Linked DNA regions of Ovis aries. The protein of the gene in region 2 purifies or fractionates together with the protein of the main gene of each other region. This does not show direct contact. Links are inferred from orthologs where the notes say so. Each region holds a gene or a part of one and is shown on either strand. Other genes may lie near its edges. The genes, in order: C12H1orf174 and STK35.

The links.
Region 1: the proteins of STK35 (region 2) and C12H1orf174 purify together in Homo sapiens (affinity purification with mass spectrometry; 3 studies listed by BioGRID and IntAct, counting the BioPlex papers as one, with this or other methods). This does not show direct contact. The link is inferred for Ovis aries from reciprocal best matches to the Homo sapiens genes STK35 and C1orf174.

The regions. Positions count from the first base shown.
Region 1 is NC_056065.1:48,597,776-48,602,315, reverse strand, and holds the start of C12H1orf174 (UPF0688 protein C1orf174 homolog), read right to left. Parts: upstream 2,935-4,540; 5' UTR 2,855-2,934; coding exon 2,840-2,854; exon of another isoform or gene 2,731-2,839; intron 1-2,730.
Region 2 is NC_056066.1:52,743,700-52,748,214, forward strand, and holds the start of STK35 (serine/threonine-protein kinase 35), read right to left. Parts: upstream 3,029-4,515; 5' UTR 2,976-3,028; coding exon 2,670-2,975; intron 2,079-2,669; coding exon 1,478-2,078; exon of another isoform or gene 1,324-1,477; intron 1-1,323.

The DNA.
Region 1 (4,540 bases), on a different chromosome or scaffold from region 2:
GATACAGGTTCGATCCCTGGATTGGGAAGATCCCCTGGAGGAAGGCCCACTCCAGTATCCTTGCCTGGAGAATCCCACTGCTGCTGCTGCTAAGTTGCTTCATTTGTGTCCGACTCTGTGCGACCCCAGAGACAGCAGCCCACCAGGCTCCCCCGTCCCTGGGATTCTCCAGGCAAGAACACTGGAGTGGGTTGCCATTTCCTTCTCCAATGGATGAAAGTGAAAAGTGAAAGTGAAGTCACTCAGTCGTGTCCGACTCCTAGCGACCCCATGGACTGCAGCCTACCAGGCTCCTCCGTCCACGGGATTTTCCAGGCAAGAGTCCTGGAGTGGGTTGCCATTGCCTTCTCCGGAGAATCCCACTAGGAGATTGTAAATGGAAAAAATATGGGAGACCCCTGTTAAGTTAGCAATTACTTGAGAAAGCGGGCTTGCTTAGCAACAAAACCATGAGACAGAAGTATTAAGACATGCCCTCAAACAATAAAACAGTGGTGACGTGAGCCCCACGTCCTGCCCAGTGAGCTCAGTAAGGTAACGATCCCTAGGATGTGCTCTCTGAACACACAAAACAATAATCTGTGGACCTTTTTTGACCACATAGGGACAAGAAAACTCCCCTGCCCAGCCTGGAGGAGGAGCTGATGATGGAAGCACGATGTCTACTCAAGAAAGACAAAGTTCTTCTCCCCCTGGCCACTTCTCCTTTGATTATGAAACTGAAGCCTGCTAAGTTCTCAGGGTGCAGCACCCCCTCTTCCACCCACTCGTAAACCGCACAAGCATCCATTCTAACAATCTCTTCTTACCCATCACTTTGCTCTTGCTGAATTCTTTTCTGCACTGAGACATAAAGGACAGTGGTACTGGAGCTCTTTGGAGCCCCAGATATGACACCAGTAGGTCTCACCATTAAGAGTCCAACTCCAAATGTATCGATCCCGGGTCACACTGGCTTTCTCAAGGTGGGGTGTGGGGAAATGGACTGGCCCTCATGACAGCTGCCATCACCCAAGTGTTGCTGCTTAGGTTCTGCTCGTGCTGAACAACCTTAAAAGGAGCAGCACTCCCACTTCAAACTCAGGAGAGGACCCTGCTGGGGTCACACACTCATTGGAGCCCCTCTCCCTGCTCTGCCACCAGAGTTACCAGGTGAAAGCCCTGGTGGCTTGTCAGGGGGACTGAGCCAAGACCCTGCCTGGTTCTGGGGCATGCGCTGTGTAGGCCCTCCGGTAGCAGCAAGGTGCGTCTAGGTGTTTTCTACATAGTCCTTAAAATACTGGGGTGCAACTGCTCCTCAGAGGGCTTGTTACCACTCAGGGCGGGGGTGGCAGACACAGTACCCAGAGTTGCTATAGTATCTAAAATGTCCAGTTTTCAACAGAAAGTTAGGAAGCATGCAAAGAAACAGGAATGCAGACCCAAACACTAGAATAATAGCAAGTAAAAGAAACTGCCTGTGACAGTGATCAGATGCAGGATTTATCAGAAAAGAACTTCAAACTAGCCATTTTAAACACGTTCAAGAACTTAAAAGAAACCATGATTAAAGATTTAATGACATCATATCAAATAGAGATTATCAATAAAAAAAATAGACATTATAAAAAAACCAAATGGGAACTCAGGAGTTGAACATTACGATAGCTGAAATTAAAAATTCACTGGTGGGTTTGGAGTGGGCAATGCTCAAGAATAGATATGGATCAGAAGAATAAGAGAACTTGAAGATAGATTGCTAAAAAAAAAAAAAAGAAGAAGATAGATTGCTAGATTACACAAACCAAAAAACAAAGAGAAATAAGGATGAAATAGAATGAAGAGAGCCTCAGAGACCACTAAATGAACCATCATACATGTAATGGGAATACCAGGAAGAAAGGTGTACAAAAAATATTGGAAAAAATAAGGGCTGAAAACTTCCCAAATTTATTGAAGAACAATGCACAAACCCAGCAATATCAAATAGCTGAATTTCAAGTAGGATAACTGCAAAGAGATCTATAATCAGATGCAACACTACAAATGCTGCAAGTCAAGGACTATGGAAGATCTTGCAAACAGCAAGAGCTCACTCAGTCGTGTCCGACTCTTTCCAGGCTCCTCTGTCCATGGGTTCTCCAGGCAATAATACTGGAGTGTGTTGCCATTTCCTCCTCCGGGGCTCTTACCCACTTAGGGATGGAACCCGCGCCTCCTGCATTGCAGGATTCTGGGAATCCCCAAGCGGCGTAGCTAAACAATCCATCACAAGTCAGGGAAGTCAGACTGGGAAAGTGCCATCCACATGGGGTCTTCAGGAGACCCACTTTTGAGTCAAAGGTACAAACAATAAAAAGGAGAGCAGACCAGGGAGCCCAGGTGCGGCTCCCATCCCCAAGAGGCCCACCTCCCCAGGCAGGGCGTATCCAGTCCCGGGCCCTAGACCGCCCGACGGCAACCAGTACCAGGAGCTACAGCCCCTCAATTCTTTCCACCCTCCGGGGTGGACCCCTCATCGTGTGCCCCAACTTGGGCTGACAGACCCCGGGCCAGGCAGCGTCAGAGTATCGGGGTTTCAGACTAGCTCTGGAGAGGGAGCCCCCCATTCCAGAACTTGGTCTGGGAACATCCTTCTCAAGAGGCCCCCAGCCGGGGGGCGTAGGGTCCGTGTATCTGTGTGTCTGGTGTGTGCGTGGGGGCGCCTAAGGGCGTGGCCTGGGAGAACCCCGCTCCCGGGGGGCGTGGCCTGGGAGACCCCTTCCGGGGGTCGAGACACAGGCGGAGATCCCTCCCCTCCTCCATCCGAGGTGTCCTGTGGCTCAGCCTCAGCTCCCACGCGGCCTCCGCCCCCCCTCACCTTCCGGCTCCTCATGAGTGTGAGCGGCGCGCTGCCGCTCTCAGCCCCGCCGCCAAGGCCCCGCGCCCAGCTTGATCCTTTCCACCGGAGAAGAGATCCGGCGGCCCTTGGCTCGCGCCGCGGCGTGTGACGCCACCAGAAGACTGGCCAATCACAGCTCGGCGTCCTCGGGTATGTGACCCAGCAGAGTCGGCGTTTTACGTATGGGCGGGGAGACGGCCATGTTTGTGAGGGGGCCCTCCCTTGCGATTTCTCCAGCCGCCATGTTTAAGTGGGGCGCCTCCCTGGTAGTTTCTGCGGTCCCCATGTTTAAGTGGGGCGGTGGCGACTAGGTTGAGGGACCCTGGTTGCTGTCCCTGGCCACGTGCGTGGAGGTGGGTGGAAAGGTCCTGCGTGGTGGTGTCTTCCACGCGAGTCGGGCAGCTGAATTTCCCCGGTGTCGGCCCTGTCTTCTGGGCTCCGGGCGCGATGCTACACAGTCTCTGGAAGTGGGCCCGCGAGGCCGTCCCCGGCCGTGTTCGCCCTGCCTGCCGCCGGGGGCGGGGCGGGCCGGGCCCGGGGCTGCACCGCGCGCCGGATCGCGGGGGCTCGGAAGGCGGCGGCCTCTCCCGCCGCGAGCTCCGGGGCGGCCACCCTCGGGTGCAGCCCCCCGCGCTGGCCCGCACCACCTGGCGGCGGCCAACGGGCGGGAACCTGCCTTCTGGGTCCCGGGGCGCGGGCGCGGGCGTCGGCGCCACGGGGCCAGGTCCACGGACGTGGCTGAAGTCCGCCGGGTTTTCGGGCCTCCAGAGCCGGGAGACACCGGCCTCTGTGCCCGCGGGAGGCTCCTTCCGGGAACCGCCCACCTTCTCATCAGGGACACAGAATAAACGACAGTGCTGTGTAGTTTTGTTATTACTGTTCTAACAGGTGAGAACATTTACATCAGGCAGTTTTATCAGAAACATTAGATTTTGCACTTACAGTGTACAGGTTGAAGTGTGTACCGCTCGAGGCACCCTCACTCATGTGGTTCCCTGGCTCTGCCAAAGGTTTCATGCTCTGCTCTGACGGAATGACCCTCGAAGCCTGGAAAAACAGTCGATGCCCGTTTTTAGTACATAAAAAGCAGGGTCCCTCAGGATCCTCCAAAAAGCCCTGCAGACTGTCCTGTCTTTAGAAATCTGACTTTTGCTAATTAGGGGGAGCCCCTTCCCATAGACTGCACTTGGGGCTTTGCTTTCGGCAGTGCATCAAGTCCTAGAGTACACACTGCACACACCTGCACAAGCTAACCCACCTGGCCTGTCCATCTTCCCAGTCCCCTGCTTCTCACTGAGTTGTTCCCCATGGTGCACAGGGAAGGGAAAAAAGACTAATGCAGACTGGCAGGAAATCCATTTGAAGAGGAAGCTAACATAATCACTGTCAGCTGCTAAGAAAGAAGCAAAGTGATACAGTGTTAAATACCTAACCTGTCCCATTTTCAGGCTTCCCAGATGTCACAGTGGTAAAAATTCCCCCTGCCAATGCAGGAGACACAAGAGATGGAGGTTTGATCCCTGGGTAGGAAAGATCCCTTGGAGAGCAAAATGGCAACCCACTTCAGTGGAAATCCCATGGAGTTGCAAAGAGTCAGACAGGACTGAGCATGAACGTCCCATTTTCACTGGAGTGGGTTTCATAATAAGGTAGGTTCTGTGGTTTTACTTAAGGCTCCTT
Region 2 (4,515 bases):
CTCCTGGAAAGTCTTTTCAAAACAAATAGATTCACCATGGAAAGAGGGTGGGCTTTTCAGGACAGATGGGGCAGAGATGGGCATAAAAAGTGGAAGCCTATTTTGAAAAAGGACCCCAGGTGATATTGAGCATGTTCTCAATCCACTATCAAACTGATCTGAAGTGGGCCAAGAAGTTCTCTTGAGACGGGCCTTGCAGAATCTTGAGATCAGGCAAAAGCTCCAAACAAAATGCACTAGCTGACTCCACCCTACCCCAGACCCTATCCATCCTTACTAAGGTCAGATCTAGTGCATCTTCAGGGGAGAAGAGGAAATTGTTACCCCTCTTAAAACGATTTAGACCTTGAAATCAAGACAAATCTGGGATCACATCCCTTAAGCTATGAAAAATTGTAAAGAAAACAGGAGGACAACCCTACATCCCTTACAAGCTGATTAACCTTCATCAACTTACCTTCAAGTTCATCTCTAATCCTTAGTTTCTCTGTTTATAGAAAGAGGAGAGGATTTACTTTTAAAGTTATTACCTCCAGTCACTGTAAGAGATATAGGGCAGAGCTGGGGCTCAGATTAGCAACCTCTCCCCTGAGAACACTCCTCAGGCCTTCCTAGCCCACTGGCTAGGAAGAGACCCCCAGCTACTTGTAGTCTGAACAAGACACGTGACCACTCAGGATGCACACACCCACTGACTGCAGTTAAAACCCCCAAACGAGGATTTGCCCTCCCCAGAACTGCAAAACCCCTTTGCCTCACTAAGCCCTACCTTTTCTAGAAATAAAACCACTTACAAGTCAGCCTCAGAAAGTTAAGAACGTGTAAAACAAGAGGAAAAAGATATTCGATGTTGTTGTGTGACAGTTCTGGCCCACCTGTGGGGTTATTATGCTGCGGGTCCCAAGAGGACCTAGCCTAAAAACTATCAGTCAGCTTGAGTGCCCTGGGAAGAAGAGCTGGGGGGGTCTCAGAGGAAAAAGACGAACCAGAGTCTGCAGGGTGGAGCCCGATGGTTCGGGGATTTTTGGAACCAGACAAGGAGTGGGTGTGGGTGGGTCCGGCTGAGTTTTTTCCTTTCTGTTTGCTTTGGGAGGGAAAGAGAAGGGCCCAAGCCTGTGAGGGGGCTCGGGAGTTCTTCCACTAACTCTGAGCCCAACCCCCTCCACTTCCAAATCCGACCTTCAAAGTGCTAGACGTTTCATACTAATGGCTCACTTAAGGAGCACTAGTATCACAATGGTTAGCACTTAATGAGCCCTTGTTATGAAAAAACCAGCTAACATTAGGGCTGGGAACTGATTCCGGATCTGGAGAGGGGAGGGCGGACTTTTTGCCTGGCGCAGAAAGGAGGGTGTGTCGGGTCCAGGGTTGACAGGACTGGGACCAGATTCTAGGGGTCCAGGGGTCAGTTCGGGTCTGGCCACCAGACTCTTGGGCCCAGGCCCGGCGTGGCCAGGGCGGCCCTCGGCGCTCCTACCTTTAAGCGAGGTCTCCACCAGGCGCAGGTAAAGCTGCGAGCTCTTGTTGCCGTGGCTCATGCGCTGGGCGAGCCCGTTGCGCTGCAGGACGCACTCTTCAAACTGCACGACATTCTGGTGGCGCCGCTTGAGGCTGGTCAGGGCCCAGAATTCGGCCAGCGCCAGCTCCACGTTCTCGGGGGCGTCGCAGCGGATCTTCTTGACCGCCACCCGGGCCCCGCTGCGCCCGGCCACTGCCTCGTACACCACGCCGTAGCTGCCGCGCCCGATCTCCGCCAACAGGCTGTAGCGCGGCCGCGCCGACCCGCCGCCGCCCTCCGGCCGCCGCCGCGCCAGGTAGGCCTCGCCTGGGGCCTGGGCCGCCACCGGATCCATGGCCTGGGCCGCCGCCGCCGGCCTCAGCTTCGCGCTGAGCGCCCGCGGCACTGGGCTTCGCCTTTTCCGCTCGGGGCTTTGTGTACCTCTGCGAGCGCCGTCCTCCTCCCCCGTTTCCATGGCTGCGGGCGGCGGGGGGAGCAGCAACGGCGCTGCCCGGGACCCCCCTGCCTCATCCCTCCGTCCGGCCCCGGGACGCGGAAGAGCGGGACCTTGGATTGTGACCTGCGGGCGAAAAAGTCGGTTAAACGACTAGGCCGAGGCGGGGAGGCCTGGAGCGTAAGCCTCAGGGCGTCCCACCTCCTCCTCCGGCCGTTGCGGCCCCTTTAAGACGGAAGCCACGGCTGCAGAGCGAACGGGGGAGGGGAGGGGAAAGCGGGAAAGACGAAACCACGGGGCACTGGCTTAGAGGGGGGAGCCGGAGAAAAGAGCAAAAAGTCCCCGCCTTTTCAGTTAATTTATCGTGTAGCAGTACGAAAAACAAGGACCCGCTGTTTCCATGACTGATGAAAACCGCCTTCAGAAGCAATTCAGACTGTAGAAATCTTTTTCCGCTGCTTGGCTCCCTCTGGGATGCCCCTCCCCGCGTCCCGCCCTGAGTTCTCCCGGGTGTAAACAGTCCATTGAATTAAGCCCGAGCAGAGCCCTGCGGACCGACCCAAGTCCCGCCGGACTGCGGGTGTAAGGGGTTGGCTTAAAAGTTCGGCGTCCCTGAGCGCGCCCAACCTGGGGCCCAACTGCCCTCACAGACGCCCGAGGCGGCAGCCGTAGTTCCAGCTTCGGTGCTAGCTTTTACGCCGCGGACAGCGCGCTTACCTGGCCGGCGCCCTTCCACTTCCGGGCAGCGCGTTTCCCTCCTAAGGCCCCCGGCTGGGGATGGTCCGCCCCGGGACGGGGCTGCCTCGGGTACGGAGCCGCGCGGGAGGCCGCGGCCCGAGTCGGGCGGGCGACGGCGCCTGCTACTGCACGAGTGACGGCAGCAGTGCTCTCGGGGGACAGCTGGGCGTCCGGGCTCCCGCGGCTCTCCACGTGTTCGCGCCAGCTGAGCCCTTTACGTAACCTTTTTATATAAGCCGCACGTCCGGCCCTCAGTCGGGCCAGCGGAGGCTCCTGGTGGCCCATCCCCCGGAAGGCCGGCTGAGTGCTGCGCCGCCGGCGTCTTGCCAGGGTCGGCCGACGAGCCGCAGCCCGGCGCACCCACGCGGGGCGGGGGCCCAATCACAGGCGAGAACACCCAACCAACAAAAAATAGGCGCCAAATTCCCGCGATTCGGCTATGGCCTCTAGTCTTCGCAGCCGCCTGTGCACCGCAACCTCCTCTCTTCGCCCGCGCTGCGAGAAGAGCTGCACGCAGTAGGCGCTAATAAATACTGATTGGTCGATTGGATTGGTCGGTTTAATTGATTCATAGGTCTTGCCTGGGAACCGCCCGGACTGGGTTGGACTCCATACCCTGTCTCCCTACTAAACCTGTTGATCTTGGGCAAACCATTGCCTCCACTTGGAGCCTCAGTTTTTTCTTCTGCAAAATGGGTAGACTGGCCCTTACCTCCCAGGATTGATAGTCCCAAATTAAATAAGTATATTTTATATAAAATGTTAATATGTAAATATTTAGATGTAAATAGAAAGTGGCTAATTGGGTGCAGGGCTGAGAGCGCTGAATGTAAGCTCCGTTTAGGCAGGAATTTTAAAATATCTTGTTCACTGCTGCTGCTGCTGCTACTGCTGCTAAGTCACTTCAGTCGTGTCCGACCCTGTGTGACCCCATAGACGGCAGCCCACCAGGCTCCCGCATCCCTAGAATTCTCCAGGCAAGAACACTGGAGTGGGCTGCCATTTCCTTCTCCAATGCATGAAAGTGAAAAGTCAAAGGGAAGTCGCTCAGTCGTGTCCCACTCTGTGCGACCCCATAGATGGCAGCCCACCAGGCTCCCCCGTCCCTGGGATTCTCCAGACCAGAACACTGGAGTGGGTATCAAATCATATGGGTGTCTGCAAATTAGTTAACACACTTTCTTGTGTCTCTCCTCCTTATCTGTAAAATGGGAAGAGCAGTATGTGAGAATTCACTGAGTTTAGAAGGTTAAAGCACTTAGGACAGGGCCTTCACACACATTAAATGTTAGATATTATTAAGTAAATTAATACGCAGAATCATTTTTACAATGTAAGTGTGATCGATGAAAAGAATGAGCTAAAGAGTGCCAGGGGGCTGGGGACAGGCCACTTTTGTTGGTATGATCACGAAAATAAATTTTGGGGGTAAAATTTCAAATTTATATATAAATTGCAAGCATGGTAAAGATTCTCACAACTTTTTTAACCAGGATAATAGTTTGCTATATTTTACTACATTTGCACTGTCGTATTCTCTTGTGTATTTGTGTATGTATTATATATAGACGTGGGTGTACTTTTCCCCCCACACCACTTTATGTTTCAGACATCGTGCCTCTTTAATCCCGAATACGTCTGTGTGTATTTCCTAAGAACATGAATATTGTCTTGCAAAACCTTGGTACAACTATCAAAATGAAGAATTTTGACAATAACACAATTTTTAATACATCTTCCATACTAAATGTAGCCACTTGTCCCAATAATGTAGCTATTCCCATGATCCAATCAGGATCACATATTTACATTTAGTTGTCATGCC